3 linked regions of the Arabidopsis thaliana genome follow. The protein of the gene in region 1 interacts with the protein of each later gene in a pairwise test. Each region holds a gene or a part of one and is shown in the gene's direction. Other genes may lie near its edges. The genes, in order: COP8, FUS9 and HSL1.

Region 1 (6,004 bases):
TGTTGATCTAACGGTTGAGATTGAAGAATTGCAAATCGGATTCAGCTTCTGAGGACGCGTGTAATTTATGCTCATTGAAAATAGAAGAAATTGATATATTTAGTCAAAAAGGTTATGAGATTTGAGTATTTCTTTTTATTTTTTATTTTTTTTTTGTTGGTCACATTGAATATTATTGCCTTTGGTAGTTCAGTCCTATATTTTATTTGAGAAACAAAATCAGAAAAGAATCTATAATTTGAAGCAACTTTCATATTGTAATTTGGTATTCCTATATTTTATTTGAGAAACAATATCAGAAAAGATCAAAAGAATCTATAATTTGTAGCAACTTTAAATATTGTAATAGGAAATCTTTTAAAATTTATCAATATGAAATTTGTTAATTTATAATAGGTCTTGAGATTTGATCATGTGACTTCTAAACACAAGTTATTGGGCTTTTGTTTAAGTAAAGCCCATGTGTCAAAGAAATGGATTGTTTTCCTAGTTAGTGAAATAATCTTATACACACAATTTAAAAACAATAGAGAAAATTAATGTTGAAATGAGCAGATTAATGTGGGGTTGTACATATCAAGGTGGAACTATCACAAGGAAGAACAAAGAGATATCTTGAGGTAACTACCCAAAGAAAGAGCAATGAAACCCTACCATGACAATTTGTCCAGACTATAACGAGTTAAATCATTATCATGAATTCCATACCATGGCAATTTGTTTTCTTTCAATGGGATGTCTACCATTCCAAAAAAGTTTTGCCATCAACAACCGCATCTGTTCTTTTGAGTAAATGTAATTTTGGTAAACTATGTAGTCTATAATCATTAGTTACAATATGGATCTGTAAAGTTGATTCAAAAACAATTGTGATGTTCTCGAACGGGATCACCATAAACTTCATCAAAAAAAATCCTTTAAGCGAGAGAAACTCGTGATTTTTCGAGACAACGATTGTGTCTATGAGTCTATCGTCCAACCTCATCCAATACCAATATGTTCAGTTATATCTAAGTTGTAAAGCACATAAAATCGATTTGTCAGTCAGCTCACATGTTTAAACCAAAGTCGTATTCCAATGCGAGACTTGGTTTCCTAGTCTGAGATAGGTAAATTTCTTTATATACTACCCTCTATGTAACGAGAGAGTGGTTCTTTTTTCACTTTTAATTCATGAGAGCACTTTCAAAACATTTTGCATGTCATTGCTCTCAAGATTTGGGCTCACAACTTTTCCGATGACTTCTCGGTCATATCTTGACCATTCGATCAATTTTTCGATTGCTTCTAGTCGATTCTTTCTCAACAAATAATTATTTACGTTTCCATCTTAAATTGCTCCCTAAGCTCTAAAACACATAACATATCATCTTTTTCCGATCTGGTATCATAATATTAAACGTGGTATTGTCATCATAAAATACCTCATCATCGTGTTTTCCAAATCACGACGTGTTTTTTTATTTGTGTAAAAGATTTACTGTAGTAATTTAGGCTCACATATAAAAATATTTCTAAACAATATATTATTTGTTGATTTTTTTTTTTAATCTACAATCAATTTGGTAAACTTACCATCACAAATTAATTATAAAATTTATGAACTAACAAAAAAAAATATAGTATTTATGCTTAATATATATATATATATATTTTAATTTATTTTGGGTACTAATCTCATATGAGTTGTGACCATATTAAGTAAATTTTGTAAAGCGCCTCTCCGATCACCGGCACAGAATCTAGTCCCCGTTTATTTTTTTAATATAAAAAGAGAGCAAACTCCAAAAAAAAAAAAAAAAAAAGCGAGAGAGAAATCAAAACCTTGTAAGGTTTCTTAGGGTTTCAATCGAAGCGGGAGAGAAAATCTCAGAAGAGAAGCCATGGATGAAGCTTTGACGAACGCTTCTGCAATCGGTGACCAACGCCAGAAAATCGAACAGTACAAACTCATCCTCTCCTCTGTTCTCTCTTCCAACGATCTTCTCCAAGCTCAGAGATTCATCGATCACAGTAATTTCGCATCTCCCTTCTTTCTCATGGTTTCAACTTCATAAGAGATTCGACAACTGCTTTTTGTTCTTATGGAATTCGGTTTATATCAGAATTTCTGGTTTGATTTTGATTTTTGCTTCCTCACAATTTTTCCAGTTCTTTCCGATGATGTCCCGTTGGTGGTTTCGAGGCAGCTTTTGCAGTCTTTCGCACAAGAGCTTGGGAGATTAGAACCGGAGACGCAGAAGGAGATTGCTCAATTTACTCTTACCCAGATTCAGCCTAGAGTTGTTTCCTTTGAGGAACAGGTTTGTTTTCTCTTCGTGATACCTTACTGTTTAGCAGCAATCGTGTACTTTTTAAACCCTAATTAGTTTACCTACTTAACATAAGTTGAGAGGTATGTAGAGTCGCTTTGCTATTGTACCGCTTTGGTATGTGAAATCTACACTGAAAGCTAATTTGAGATATTTGTTTACTAAGGATGCTGTATTTTGGGATAACTGAGACAATGTACGTTGTGTTGTTTTTCAATCTCTTTATTCTAAGAGATGAAACTGTTTGTGGTGTATTTGCAGGCACTTGTTATCAGAGAAAAACTTGCGGGTTTGTATGAATCAGAGCAGGAATGGTCAAAAGCAGCACAGATGTTGAGTGGAATTGATCTGGATTCTGGAATGAGGTGTGTGGCATTGAGCAGAATTTTGTTTTAGTTTCCTCTCTATGTTCTTTTGTGTTGCTTATTTTGGATTTGCGGAATTCTTTATTAGGGCCGTTGACGACAACTTCAAGCTTTCAAAGTGTATCCAAATTGCTCGTTTGTATCTCGAGGTTTGTCTTTCCCTTTCATGTACATATGCACAATAGATTCTGTGTCCTTTTCATTAATTTTTAAGCATGTAAATCGGTTATCTCTGTTTATGAGATGAATTTACGCATCGCAGTAATGATTTATAGCTAGTTTGTCTTGTTTCCTTCTGTGGGTGCGTGTCAATCAGTTACAGAAGTTAGATCTTAAAAGCACAAAAGAAACCCGTTGTTGAATGTTGATTCAATCTTCAAATATTTGGACATTTTTCTAGAGAGATTTTATTTAAAGTTAAGTCTCTTGACCAAATCTAAGTGTCATGAAATTAGGAATATCGACTGTTAAGAGCATTATTCTGCTTCACTACATCACTTTTTTATTTATTGCTTGTGAGAGTAAATTGAGGCTAGCAGAGTTGTATAAATACATTTAGTTAAATTTTTATTGTTCTCTAATACTTTTGTGTTTTGAAATTTTCAGGATGATGATGCTGTAAATGCAGAGGCTTTTATAAATAAAGCTTCTTTCTTAGTGAGCAATAGTCAGAATGAAGTTTTGAATTTGCAGTACAAGGTTGGACCACCTTAAAGTAAACTAAGAATTTATGTGCTGGGTGATTAAGGAGCATTCGTTTTCAAGTTTTAATATATTTCTGTTTCAGGTCTGCTATGCTAGAATTTTGGACATGAAAAGAAAGTTTTTAGAGGCTGCACTTCGGTATTACGGCATATCTCAGATTGAGCAACGCCAAATAGGGGATGAGTAAGTGAACTGACTTATCTTTCTGCTACATCTTTTCTTCAAATTCTCCTCTGTTGGTTTCTTGTTCGGATGGAATAATGATTAATTAATCTTCTATCCATCTTTGGAGACTCTGTATTTAAAGCTAGTTTCCTACTTTTCCCCTCTCTGTGATTGAATAGTGTTCCTCTTTTCTCTCTCCAATACCTTTGTGATATCTCATATTCTGAAACGGTTATAATGTGTTTTCTAATCTTTTCAGAGAGATTGATGAGAATGCTTTAGAGCAGGCCCTATCAGCTGCTGTCACATGTACCATATTAGCTGGAGCTGGTCCTCAGCGTTCTCGTGTTCTTGCAACTTTATACAAAGTAATTCCCTTTTGGATTACAAATAGAATACTTTCCTGCTTGCTTATTTATTGTTTTTTATTTCTCAATATCTTTCTATTAACAGGATGAGCGTTGCTCCAAGCTGAAGATTTATCCTATCCTGCAGAAGGTTCTATCTCTTATTACCTACAACTGTTTCCTCTAGTAGACAAACATACATTTTCATGCTATTGGACATATAGTATTGTTTGAACTCACATATTACTCTTGTTTAAGCCGGCATGATGTTTATTAGATTTGATTCATTATCAAATCAAACAAGTTCACCATAGCTTATAGAGGCTTGGTTAGAAATGCATGGTAACTTTTTGTTTTTTAATGCAACTTTATAGGTGTATCTGGAAAGGATTTTAAGGAGACCAGAGATTGATGCCTTTTCAGAAGAACTAAGGCCACATCAGGTATGGACTGTGAATTAAGATTTAGATGTAGTTTTTGGATAACATCTGAGTTGGTAAGTAGGTTCATAACAAGTTATTACACTGTTGATTTCAACAGAAAGCATCTTTGCCTGACAAATCCACTGTTCTTGACCGTGCTATGATTGAGCATAACCTTCTTAGTGCAAGCAAACTCTACACAAACATAAGGTATGAGATGTCGAATTAGTATCTTCTTTGTGTGTCTAGACTTGTTTGATTTTCTCAACTATTTTATATCCTAGGTTTGATGAATTGGGAACTCTGTTGGCGATTGATCCAAGAAAAGCGGAGAAGATAGCAGCTAATATGATTGGGCAAGACCGAATGAGGGGTTCCATAGATCAGGTAAGCAATAAAAAATACTTTGTTGGTTGAGCTATGTAAGAGCCCTGAAGAGAATTCTCGTTAGTGTTGATTTTCTAGAAGGAGGTTCCTAGACGTGTTTTAATATTTTATGTTACTGTTCAGGAGGAGGCTGTGATTCATTTTGAGGATGACGTGGAGGAACTACAACAATGGGATCAACAGGTTTTCTATCTCTCCCTCCCACTCTTTGTCTCTTTAGAGCAACTATATATGATTGTTTGTTTTATTGGCGTGGAATATGACTGAAAAGTGGAATCTGTGCAGATATCGGGATTATGCCAAGCTCTCAATGACATTCTGGATGGGATGGCCAAGAAAGGCATGTCTGTTCCTGTCTGATTGACTCCCAAGCCGTGAGATCGCCTCATGATGATTAATTTGTATTAGCCGAGCAACGGATCGAGTCTCATGCCAAAGTTTTTGCCAAATTGCTGTGTTTTGGGGACAGTCATTTTCACCTTATTTACTTTCTTGCAAATTCATGTCTATGTCTTTAGGTTAATTGATTCAGAGAGGAAAAGATTAGGCATTGAATGAGGATTTTTAAGAAAGTTGAAAAGAGGTTCAGGGTACATTTTTACCTCAGAACAAATTATTTTATGCATAGATGAACCTTTCTTGTGCAAGAGAATGATGAAACTAGTAGTTTTTTTTTTTTTTTTGGCTCAACAACAACTTCTCATTTACCAAACGGTGATTACACAGAGTCTGAATACACACAATCTTTTATCCAAGCCGGCACCTTTAGAATACATTTTAGGATCATAATTCAATAAAGAAAGAGATTCCCTAGCAATTCTATCTGCCACACTGTTTCCTTCACGCTTTATATGCATCACCTTCACCTCCTCAAATTGTTGGAATATATGTCTAATGTCCTGAATTCTTGGGGCCAAATTTGGATAATCAGTATCATCCCCTAACAGAGACACTAGATGTTGGGAATCTGATTCAAAGATGACTTTCTTATAGTTAAATCTTGACATTGAAAGAGCTGCCCATCTCATAGCTTCAAGTTCCACTTCCAACACTGTCTGAACTCTCGGGATTGCACGAAGTCCCAGCCACAACATTTTCCCCTCATGATTTCTCAGATGAAACTAGTAGTTACATATAACATTTTCCCATTCGTTGTTTAATTTTTATTCTTGAACGATCAAAACTTATGCGAATTTAAGAAATGATCAATGATAACAGACGAAACTGCTAGTAATAATAATGAGAAACTGTTGCAACAAAATTTCGGAAGATTCGCAAGAACCGACTAGTAAAATGTGTTG
Region 2 (3,799 bases), on another chromosome or scaffold:
TTCTCCGGTGAAGCAGATTGTTGATCCCAACACGCTTTTACATTACAACAGCATGTTTGATGCTATGGTTGATGCTGCTTACTACTCCATGGAAGCTTTGAATTTCTCCAAGATTCCTGTTGTAGTCACGGAAACAGGCTGGCCTTCGTCTGGTGGAAGCGATGAAGCGGCTGCAACAGTCGCTAATGCGGAGACATTCAACACTAACTTGATCAAGAGAGTGCTGAACAACTCAGGTCCTCCTAGTCAACCAGACATACCGATAAACACTTACATCTACGAGCTGTACAATGAAGACAAGCGGTCAGGACCAGTCTCTGAAAGAAACTGGGGGATTTTGTTTCCAAATGGGACCTCGGTTTACCCTCTGAGTTTGAGTGGTGGCTCTAGCTCCGCAGCTCTAAACGGTTCATCGATGTTCTGCGTGGCTAAAGCAGATGCTGATGATGATAAGTTGGTTGACGGTTTGAATTGGGCGTGTGGTCAAGGCCGAGCTAACTGCGCTGCCATTCAACCGGGCCAACCTTGCTACCTCCCTAACGATGTTAAGAGCCATGCTTCTTTTGCTTTCAATGACTATTACCAGAAGATGAAAAGTGCAGGTGGAACTTGTGACTTTGATGGTACGGCTATCACTACGACTAGAGATCCTAGTAAGTTTTTCTCATTTCCTCTGATCTATGTGTTGCAATAATTCTATGTTTTCAAGTTGTTTCCTCAGAGTAAATCTCAAATTCGATGGCTTGTGTGTTTGCAGGCTATAGAACATGTGCATATACGGGAAGGTAACGATACTAAATTTATGTCTTGTTAAGTTTTGAAAATGAAATCTGCTCCTAACTCTTTGAAATCATTTTCCATTTATCTCAGCTTAAACGCAAACGCTACTAATGGAAACTTTCCTCCGGATGCGTTAGGACCCGCAAGTCCATTGGGAGGAAACGCAAACGCACGTATCATCTTTAGCTACCATCTTCCCATATTGGCACCGTTAGCTCTCACTCTACTACAACTGTTGCTTCAGCATGACCGCCTTTTGTAGAACGTTTGCCAAAAAGCGGTTTTGTAGTAACCGGGGAAGTCTACCTGTGGCTTGGATTGGATTTCTTACGGTTACCGGTAGTTACTGTGTACTTTGTTTTTAGTGTAAGTGTAACTAGAGACTAAAGAGGGCTCACAAGTTCCCATTCTTTTTTTTGTCTTCATCTTTGAACTAAAATATTCGAATTAGAGTGATTTAAATTTCATATTCAAATGAATCAGTGCATTGTAGGAGAGTTTACGTAAATCATGTTATTCATAAAAATTGACAGAGTAAATTTGATTATGTTTAAACAAAAATTAAATTGATTTTGGATAATTTCAATTTTCTTTCCAAAATGTGTGCCTTTTTCAAGAACTTTGAATAATCATTTATCAAATTATTAAGGATTCACGTGGTTATAACATGATCACATTACACAAAAGGACAAGAATATTCGATAATTCAACTTAAATAAATTTGGTTGTCAAAATGATTACAAATTTATTGATAGTGATTAGTGAGAGAAAATAAAAATAAAAAATACATGTTACAAAATTAATCTCCACGTCAGCGATTACTTTATTTGTTTAATTGATCGGACAAAAACGCGGCGTTTCGAAATCTTTTCCCGATGGAGTGCGAGCGAAACGATCAAGTGGTGGATTGGATAAGCAGAGAGTATCGGAAGACGACGACGACGGGAGATGATGACACCTGGCGGAAGCGGGAGGTTGAGACCGTTACCGACGGCGATGTACGCCGGATATTCAGGAACGGCGTCGTCTTGGGTAGCGAAGACTTCAGTTTCTGCGTCAGGGAAGAGGATACAGAGGGAGATGGCTGAGCTTAACATTGATCCACCTCCTGATTGCTCAGCTGGTCCAAAAGGAGATAATCTCTACCATTGGATCGCCACCATCATTGGTCCTTCGGGTTTAATTCTGATACTCTCTTTGAATATTTGTAGATAATCCGATTGAAAATTTGTTAGGTTTTCAAGTCTTTGAATTTGGTGTTTATGGAACTTTTGCAGGAACTCCCTATGAAGGAGGGATCTTTTTCCTGGATATAATTTTCCCATCTGATTATCCATTCAAGCCACCTAAGGTATGATCATGGATTCTTTGGTTAACACATTTTGGGAGCTTTACTGATTTAGCTGGTAATGATTTAAGGTTTAGAAGTTTTGATTTCTAATGATGATCTCTTTAGGAAGAACTATTTAGTGAATATCAATGAGTCTTCAACTGCATCACATTGAAACAGAGATCATCTAGTGTCTCAGACTCTCAGTGTCTAGCATATTATGTAGTTTTATTGCTTTCAACATAGTCTTAGGATACATTTTGTAGCAAATTTCTTGAAGTTTTGGGTCTAGTGATAGTCAAGCTATAGGTACTAATCTAGAGCTTGCACTTTTATTACATCTGTCTTTTTGGTTAAGTTGGTGAGGTTGATTTGCAGTTGGTGTTCAAGACTCGGATTTACCATTGCAATGTTGATACTGCGGGAGATTTAAGTGTGAACATTCTAAGAGATAGTTGGAGTCCAGCCCTTACAATCACTAAAGTCTTACAAGCCATCAGATCTATCTTCTTAAAACCTGAACCCTGTAAGTTTCTATTCTACTCTCAGGCTTCAGATCAGACCATTTCAAGTCCTCTGATGAAATGACCAGCTCATGTCAGATCTACCTAAGAGAACGTTTTTAAAAAAAAGTTTGTGATGAGTTTTGGCCAACAAACATAATAGATGTCCGCATCTAACTACTGTATTTAACTTCCATAGTAAATCTCTATTGTTCTTATTCTTTTTGCTTCTTCTTCATCGACCAGATAGTCCAGCTTTACCGGTGATTGCACGGCTCTACTTGACAGATAGAGAAAAGCATGACGAGGTAGCCAAAGAATGGACATTGCGATTTGCCAAGTGAGATCTTCAATACGAGGAAAAGACAACTGATGTATTATAAATACACCTAGTTCTTTGGTTAGTTAATGGTCATCAATGTACATTCATAAAAGTGGAACCACAATGTTAGATGGCCAAGAAAATTGTTTGCTCAGATAATAGGCAACAATGTGAGGTAGGACCAATCCTCAACAACTCCAATTTATTGAAGGTTATACAATTTAGTGTCAAATCTTTTCGTCAAGGACTCGAAAACCAAAGATCATATATGGTCTGAATATAACTGAGGAATTGTTTCTTTTATAAGAAAACAAGAGCATTTTGTTTTGAAACAAGAATAGTAGGCCATAACTTCTAGAGAAAAGCGATTACAGATGAGATAATTAAACTGAAGAGTATTAGTTGGTACCTAACATGTTCCATAATCTTTATTGATTGATTATCTCCAAAAAGAAAGATCAAACTTTCTATTGAAGACACAAGTGAGACTTGAGAGACCAAATCTACCGGTCAATTCTTTTCGTTCTTTTAACCTAACTCTGTTTAACATAATTATCACAAATGGTCAGTACATATCTATCTACGCATGGTATATATAGAGAATATGTAGAACAGCAGTGTTAAAAAAGAGTAACATATTTTGAGTCTCTGCGACTAATATCTTCATATCGGTACGTTGTAATATTTATCCGTTAATTATACGTGTGTTAGATGTGTTAGTGTATATGCAGATGAATATGTCATTTTATGCATCACATGTATATACTCAATTTGTTTATCTTATTTTTTTATTTAATGTTCCCCTTCGTTGGCATCATATATATTTCTCTTGAAGTTTTGAGTAAAACCTCTAGAGATGTTGGA
Region 3 (7,864 bases), on another chromosome or scaffold:
AGGAGTCAGTGATTCGTGATATATTAACTAGAGTTGCATCATCAGATAGTTATTTTTATATTGTCAACTACTATTTTATGCTTGTAAAAATACACAGAGATGGTTCTTGGTTACAACAAGGAATATTTCATATGTGAAATCTGAAAGGCAACAATATTAGACTAATATAGCAAATAACATGATATCAACGTATGGGAGTGTAAATGTCTGAATGTTCCATTTGAGAAATGTCCTCATCATGTGACACAAGTTTATTAGGCTACTCAAGTTAGCTTAGAATTAAGAAGCTAGAACATGTGAAAATAAATAGAAAACAAAAAAGAGGAAACAAAAACTAATAACAGAACGAGAAGTTGAAACCTTTTGGATCCAATTAAATGAATATCGATGTAATTCCAAAATGTTAGTTCATGTGTTAATGTTTGAAGATCTAGTACATATGAATAACATTTGAAATCATTTTTGTTTCATGCAATTACATAACTACAAGGGTTTTCATCACATATTGCTAATTAATTTTGAGTTTAGAATCCAAAACATTTAACCGAAAATCTAATAATTTTAAAAAGGGTGATTTACTCATCTATAAGACTAACTAAAAAAATACGTACTAAATTATTTACAAGAGACAATTGATAACTAGAGTATGAATTAGTTGTTTAGACTTACCCATGTGTCAAAGTCATATTGACAAATGGCTCGGTTATAACTGATTTATATACCAATAATTGCATACAAGTTTGTTTCTTAAATAAATCAAGCAATATTCATAAGATTGCATGTGTATTTTCTGCGAAACTATTAGTACGAATTCGTGGATATGCAAATTTAATGACTATGCAAAGTAGGTGAGAATGTAATAGCGATTAGAATAGCTAGGGTTTAGCCTACCAACCATGGTAATCCAGTTTCCTAATTATCGTTAGTTTTTGAATCCCATTCATGCTTTTATCTATTTTTCAACCAATCATGTCTTTTTACCAACAAAGCATTTCCAGTCTAAGCAATATGGTAGGTAACTCGGTACGATAAACAGAAAGATAATTTATTATTCATCTATAAACGAATAATTGGTTCTCACATTACTCATACAGAGGAAAAAAAGGGATATACAAACCCTCTCTAAATTATATAGTTTTGAATTCACTGTTGTTTATCAACAACATATATAACTCTCTTACCCAATTCTTATTATTGTTCATACTTCATAGACATTAACATGTACGTATAGTGATTGCTACAATGAATGGTATGTACAGATATTGAGACAGACAGTAGAAAGGGATGAATCGAGTATTTATTAAAGAGAAAGGAAAGGGCCAATCTATGCCTAGTTTCAATTATGAAACTCAACCCATGAACTGATTTAAATACTTTACCTATCGGATAAGACTTTTAAGGGTCTAAAATATTTTCCAACTATTTTTCATTTGCAACAAACCTTAAAGTAATATGCTAAAGAGATCTTTTCCAAAGGTGGAATGATTTTTTTGATCTAAAACGGCCCATCAACCAATCTTCGGTCCATTATCCTGACATGATTATTTGGGCTACATTTTTTTAAGTCTTTTGCAGTAAATTGTTGAACCAACAAAAATAAAGAGTTGGAGTTGGACCTAGTAGCTGATCTGCTGATGTGTTGGTGATGGTCGTCGTGGGTTCCTGTCTTATAACCCTAGAAACCAAGCCACTTCATCATTCTCAAATTCAATGCTTTACTAAATAATATTATTATCGAAATCAAAATACTAATTTAGACGTATATAAATCTAGAAGCAAACCTTAGGTGAGGTCGAAACAGAGATGACCTTTTGCGTGCACTTTAATTAATATCTTATTACATAAAATGTCACACTTTGAGTAAACTTTACATTATTCTCTCATCCATAATAAATAAATAAAGCATACTGGGTTTTAGGTCAGGCTGACGTCAGCAGTTTCTTTGTGTTTCATTTTTTTTTTTTTTGTAATCTAACGCTCCAGATTTGTTGTCTTCTCCACGAGCCCTTTGTTGTTGTTGGTAATGGAGATTTTCGCTCTAAGTCATTGTGGCTTCTTCTTCTTTATTTAGAAACCAATTCATCAACTCCTTCGTTATTTCTAAATCTCTTTGCCACTACCTCTTGTTGCTGCAATTGAATTGGCTCAAATCTTCTTCACTTGGTCGACGTAAAGACGACTTTGACTTGGTTTTTAACTTCACTTCTCCGTCGAAAACTATCCCTTCTCTTCCGATCGAATCAATCGGCTCTCTCTCCACACAAACCAAGGTAAGGGTTAACCCTCTCCGGTGATTATGCTCTGATAAATTTACTTGCTCGGCCATTAGTGTTCAGAAACTTGGTGATTTATGCATGTTTTTTTTTGTTCAAAGACCGTAGATTTCGGAATTAGGATTGTAAAAATTGAACCTTTACATCAGTGTTTTTACAAAGTTATAAGCTTTACTTGGAAATCAGTGGTTTTTTGGGTCAACCAAAGTTGAAAGATTTGAAGAAGAATGAAACTAGTTCGATTTATATATCATTTTATTGCTTCTTAAGAAAGTGTCGTCCTTGGTTCTTTATGAATTTCCAATTGCAGCCAAATATGTCATGTTATTCACCTAATTTTTGTATTTTCCAATTGCAGCCAAATATCTTCTCCTGTTACTGGAGACAAACCTGCATACATTTCTGTCATCTCTGTTAAGGTATTACATTTAGTTTACTTGTTTACTTAATGTAGCTGCTTATTACATTTTTTTCTTCAAGTCTATATTCTTCTTTCAATAGCATTAAAAGTTATGTGTATCCTCAGATTAGATCTTGCTGACTCGCAAGTTTTTGGATTATTTAGCGGTTTAATAAGAATTATATCTTCCTTGAAATTGTGCCTAGGTAGTGGAATCGTTGTTAGCCTACTGTAGCTCAGATAGGTGATGGATCATTTCCGTTCAATTGAATAATTTGACTATTTAAGGTTTGCACTTAGTTTTGTCTACAGAATCAATTCATCCTTTTTCACAGTCAAGATATTATTCTCATTATCACTATTGTAGACTTCTTGGACTTCCATACATTCATCAGTCAACTTTTCGATGGTGCGTTTTTATCACAGTGGCACAATTATTTAAGAGGCTCCATCTCCACTGCACCACTGAGAAGTTTCGTGTGGACATGTCTAAGCTTAGAATTGGTTTGGTTGAAAACTGAGGAGATGGAAGTGACTCGTGGTTTCTCTTTTTTGGACAAGTTTCTTCGAAAGGTCTGTTGATTTTCTTTGTCTCTTGTGAACTTTAATTTCGTTTTTTTTTCCTTAGGATGCAATGATATCTTATCTTTAGATGTCAATATCAAATGTCCTTAACTATTCATTCATTTACGGATTTTGATTACTTTATAACAGTTGGTATCTTCTTCTATATATCGTCATCTTATATGTTTTTATTTGTATATAGTCTTTCACAGAAGGAGCGTATTGAGTTTCTCGACAATATATTTGACATCTTCTTCTGCCTTTTCTGGTAAGTGTTTAACTTTTCTGATACCAATTAGTTTTCTTAATCATTGCATATTTTTAATGCTTGTGCCTTTATTAAAGAGGAAAGTTGCGGTGGATTAAAGCACCATCGTGCGGAGAATACGATAAGGCTCTTGCTTCATTTGAAGTTATTGACAGTTGAATCGAGCCGCTCAATTGGTCAATTATGGAGTCAATAAAGGTTTGCATGAACGCACTGTGCGGAGCGGCCTCTACGTCGGGCGAGTGGAAAAAAGGCTGGCCTATGCGATCCGGTGATTTAGCTTCTCTCTGCGATAAGTGTGGGTAAGGGCCTTCACTCTTGTGTCTAATTTGAATACTTTTGCGACCAGTTCGATATTCGCAACACTTCTGCGATAGATTAGTGCTGTGGGTTTGCTTACAATTAGAACAAGAGTGGGTACGTGAAGGGAATCTATATTTCATGATTACTTATTAGTAAACTCTGTGAATGTTGGTTTTTGATAGGTGTGCATACGAGCAATCCATATTCTGTGAAGTGTTCCATGCCAAGGAATCTGGTTGGAGAGAGTGTAATTCATGTGACAAGGTGACGAAAATCCATGGCTTACTACACATGTTTTTGCACTCAACGTATTTCAATTGTTTTCCTTAATACGTATTTACGTTTTTTTCAGCGTCTTCACTGTGGATGCATTGCTTCTAGATTTATGATGGAGCTTCTAGAGAATGGTGGTGTTACCTGTATAAGTTGCGCCAAGAAATCCGGACTAATTTCTGTAAGACAATTTCCTCTCCATGAGTTAACTTCTTGCAAGGGATGCTTCCTTGGTCTTGGTTTCTCTGTCACTATACTCATGTAATCTCTCTTACAGATGAATGTGAGCCATGAATCTAACGGTAAGGACTTCCCCTCATTTGCTTCAGCAGAGCATGTAGGCAGTGTTCTTGAGAGGACAAATCTCAAGCACTTGCTTCACTTTCAAAGAATCGACCCCACTCATTCTTCTCTTCAAATGAAACAAGAAGAATCGCTGCTTCCTTCCAGCCTAGATGCTCTTAGACACAAAACTGAAAGGAAAGAATTGTCTGCACAGCCAAACTTGAGCATTTCACTTGGACCTACGCTTATGACAAGCCCATTTCATGATGCTGCTGTTGATGACAGAAGTAAGACTAATTCGATTTTCCAACTGGCCCCTCGGTCCAGGCAGCTGCTTCCAAAACCTGCAAATTCAGCTCCCATTGCTGCTGGCATGGAGCCTAGTGGGAGCCTGGTGTCACAGATTCATGTCGCTCGGCCTCCTCCAGAAGGTCGCGGGAAGACCCAATTGCTTCCCCGTTACTGGCCTAGGATTACTGACCAAGAGCTGCTGCAATTATCTGGACAGTATCCTCATCTGTATGTTATAATATCGTGTTTCTGCTTTTATTCTACCATTATGCACTATTTTTCTGTGCTAAGGAGTCCTTGACTGTTTATTTTCCTAGCTCAAATTCCAAAATTATACCACTCTTTGAAAAAGTTCTGAGTGCGAGCGATGCGGGTCGTATTGGTCGACTGGTTCTTCCGAAAGCATGTGCAGAGGTAACTTGTTTCTCTGTACGCTTATTTGATATTCCCAAACTATTGCTATCTAAATGCCAGGTATCAGCTATAACCGTCTATGCTTCTATGTAGGCATATTTCCCCCCTATATCTCTACCCGAGGGTCTCCCGTTAAAGATACAAGACATAAAAGGGAAAGAATGGGTGTTCCAGTTCAGGTTTTGGCCTAATAATAACAGCAGGATGTACGTTTTGGAGGGTGTGACTCCTTGCATACAGTCCATGCAGTTGCAAGCTGGTGACACTGGTACTTTTCAAATCCTTTTGTTTCGTTAACTACATTCATAACATATTGATAAACCCACCCTGGTATGGATAAATGAAACATTGGCACTAAAGCGTTCCAATCATGAGGACAGTGAAATACATTCCACGAAGAGATGACCGTACTTTTCTATTAGGTCTGATGTCTTGGATTTTCCATGTTCTCTGCAGTAACATTCAGCCGTACAGAACCTGAAGGAAAACTCGTAATGGGATACCGTAAAGCGACGAACTCTACAGCGACACAGGTAAATGCATAATAAGCTGAGAGTTGCCCCCTTAGGCATAAGTAACTGCCACTGTGAAGTGTATTGAATTAAAGAATCCTTTTCTGGTGCTCTCGTACTGATTCTTTCAGTGAAATATTTTTCCGTGTTTCTTCAGATGTTCAAGGGAAGCAGTGAACCCAATCTGAACATGTTTTCCAACAGCTTGAATCCGGGATGTGGTGACATCAATTGGTCTAAACTAGAGAAGTCTGAGGACATGGCAAAGGATAACTTATTTCTTCAGTCGTCCTTAACTTCTGCTAGGAAACGGGTTCGGAACATTGGGACTAAGAGCAAGCGTCTGCTCATTGATAGCGTAGATGTTCTGGAACTGAAAATAACTTGGGAGGAGGCACAGGAGCTGTTGCGGCCTCCCCAATCCACCAAACCCAGCATCTTTACGCTGGAAAATCAAGATTTTGAAGAATATGACGTGAGTTACTGTTAACTGTTTAGTTATCAAAAACAGCTGGGAACTTTTCACTGTATTTTCTGAAATCATGTATTTGCTGCTACCCAGGAACCACCAGTTTTCGGGAAGAGGACCCTTTTTGTCTCACGTCAAACAGGGTGAGGCCTCATGTACTATGTAATGATAGGATCAGAAGAATTAAGCACCCTTGGAATGATCGAAAGATTTGAAGTAATGAACATCTGATTATTTGGTTCTGATATGTGATCCATGAATTCTCAGGGAACAAGAGCAATGGGTGCAGTGTGATGCTTGTGGGAAATGGCGACAGCTGCCGGTGGATATTCTTCTTCCACCAAAGTGGTCGTGCTCTGATAATCTCTTGGATCCTGGCAGGTAAACGAGGTTGCATGTTCATGTGTTTAACCTAGGCTAGTTACCACAGAACATTGCGCATTTTTTTCCGAAATAACTTAGACTACACATATGGGATAATTATAGATTTTTGACTCACTGAGACTGGCCATCTGAATAATTTGAGTTGCTGTTTATATCGTCAGGTCTTCATGTTCCGCACCTGATGAACTCTCTCCAAGAGAACAGGATACACTTGTCCGGCAGAGCAAAGGTAAAATCCGCAGCTATTATTGGTCTGTATAATTAGAAACTTCCTTCTTTACATAACGAAACTTTCGTCTCAACAGAGTTCAAAAGGAGGAGACTGGCATCATCAAACGAAAAGCTAAACCAGTCGCAGGATGCATCTGCTCTGAATAGTTTAGGAAATGCAGGCATCACCACAACCGGTGAACAGGGGGAAATCACGGTTGCAGCCACGACCAAGCATCCAAGACACCGGGCAGGGTGTTCGTGCATCGTCTGCAGCCAACCACCGAGCGGAAAAGGCAAACACAAGCCGTCATGCACTTGCACTGTGTGCGAGGCAGTGAAGAGACGATTCAGGACGCTCATGCTGCGGAAGCGGAACAAAGGAGAGGCAGGACAGGCAAGCCAGCAGGCGCAGTCACAGTCAGAGTGCAGGGACGAGACAGAAGTGGAGAGCATTCCAGCGGTTGAACTAGCCGCAGGGGAAAACATCGACTTGAACTCAGACCCGGGGGCTTCCCGAGTAAGCATGATGAGGCTTCTCCAAGCTGCAGCGTTTCCTCTGGAAGCATATCTGAAACAAAAGGCTATTTCCAATACAGCAGGAGAACAGCAAAGCAGTGATATGGTCAGCACAGAACACGGTTCGTCCTCAGCCGCACAAGAAACTGAGAAAGACACAACAAATGGAGCTCATGATCCTGTGAACTAAACAGCTTTGGAATTCTCCATGAGTATTTATTCTTCAGTGGTATGTGTTTCTTATTTACACAAAAAATGTCTTCGGTTTCGTCTCAAATTGGTTGAGTGGTTACGACCATTCTACCAATTGTCGATCGAAGAAATGAGGAATTTGTAGTTTGCTTTTCTTTTTGTTTCTGGTGTTTTGGTTTGGTGTGTGGTGAGTTGAGGCTTGAGAGAGAGAGACAAATAGATTTGATGAGGTTTTTGAAAATACATAGGACACTAACTTAATAGTTATATCTAATATGGAAATGGATGAAGCTTCTAAGAAGAGAATCGGTTCTGGAGGTGGAGCTTCAAATTTGTACGCCTATCTATCGCAATCTTAAGTTTCAAAATTCGAACCTGTACATAATTTTTATTATTTTCAAGTTTGTTTATGAAATTTATGATTTACTTAAATTAGAGAAATTGGTTACGCGAGATCCTATTATTTTGATTTGGTGATAAACTTATGGTATGAAGACACACAATCAG

What was found.
Region 2: the proteins of COP8 (region 1) and FUS9 interact in a two-hybrid assay, tested with the Arabidopsis thaliana proteins (one study listed by BioGRID).
Region 3: the proteins of COP8 (region 1) and HSL1 interact in binary tests that used the Arabidopsis thaliana proteins (3 or more experiments, as listed by UniProt).

The regions. Positions count from the first base shown.
Region 1 is NC_003076.8:17,236,529-17,242,532, reverse strand, and holds COP8 (Proteasome component (PCI) domain protein), read left to right. Parts: upstream 1-1,716; 5' UTR 1,717-1,883; coding exon 1,884-2,013; intron 2,014-2,151; coding exon 2,152-2,303; intron 2,304-2,573; coding exon 2,574-2,677; intron 2,678-2,765; coding exon 2,766-2,826; intron 2,827-3,283; coding exon 3,284-3,376; intron 3,377-3,464; coding exon 3,465-3,565; intron 3,566-3,806; coding exon 3,807-3,915; intron 3,916-4,000; coding exon 4,001-4,045; intron 4,046-4,268; coding exon 4,269-4,337; intron 4,338-4,434; coding exon 4,435-4,526; intron 4,527-4,600; coding exon 4,601-4,703; intron 4,704-4,826; coding exon 4,827-4,886; intron 4,887-4,988; coding exon 4,989-5,063; 3' UTR 5,064-5,380; downstream 5,381-6,004. Other genes in the region: AT5G42965 (Polynucleotidyl transferase, ribonuclease H-like superfamily protein), read right to left, coding at 5,408-5,797. UniProt on the Arabidopsis thaliana protein: Component of the COP9 signalosome complex (CSN), a complex involved in various cellular and developmental processes such as photomorphogenesis and auxin and jasmonate responses.
Region 2 is NC_003074.8:4,422,727-4,426,525, reverse strand, and holds FUS9 (Ubiquitin-conjugating enzyme family protein), read left to right. Parts: upstream 1-1,631; 5' UTR 1,632-1,728; coding exon 1,729-1,957; intron 1,958-2,057; coding exon 2,058-2,131; intron 2,132-2,488; coding exon 2,489-2,636; coding exon of another isoform or gene 2,637-2,698; exon of another isoform or gene 2,699-2,859; coding exon 2,860-2,957; 3' UTR 2,958-3,289; downstream 3,290-3,799. Other genes in the region: AT3G13560 (O-Glycosyl hydrolases family 17 protein), read left to right, coding at 1-653, 758-785, 871-1,042. UniProt on the Arabidopsis thaliana protein: Component of light signal transduction machinery. Involved in repression of photomorphogenesis in darkness by participating in the CDD complex, a complex probably required to regulate the activity of ubiquitin conjugating enzymes (E2s).
Region 3 is NC_003075.7:15,477,543-15,485,406, forward strand, and holds HSL1 (HSI2-like 1), read left to right. Parts: upstream 1-1,836; 5' UTR 1,837-2,270; intron 2,271-2,631; 5' UTR 2,632-2,692; intron 2,693-2,952; exon of another isoform or gene 2,953-3,099; 5' UTR 3,100-3,246; intron 3,247-3,439; 5' UTR 3,440-3,505; intron 3,506-3,582; 5' UTR 3,583-3,688; coding exon 3,689-3,807; intron 3,808-3,990; coding exon 3,991-4,072; intron 4,073-4,160; coding exon 4,161-4,262; intron 4,263-4,358; coding exon 4,359-4,885; intron 4,886-4,974; coding exon 4,975-5,071; intron 5,072-5,164; coding exon 5,165-5,339; intron 5,340-5,527; coding exon 5,528-5,604; intron 5,605-5,740; coding exon 5,741-6,058; intron 6,059-6,145; coding exon 6,146-6,195; intron 6,196-6,319; coding exon 6,320-6,433; intron 6,434-6,597; coding exon 6,598-6,665; intron 6,666-6,741; coding exon 6,742-7,355; 3' UTR 7,356-7,812; downstream 7,813-7,864. UniProt on the Arabidopsis thaliana protein: Transcriptional repressor of gene expression involved in embryonic pathways, such as LEC1, ABI3, and FUS3. Repressor of the sugar-inducible genes involved in the seed maturation program in seedlings.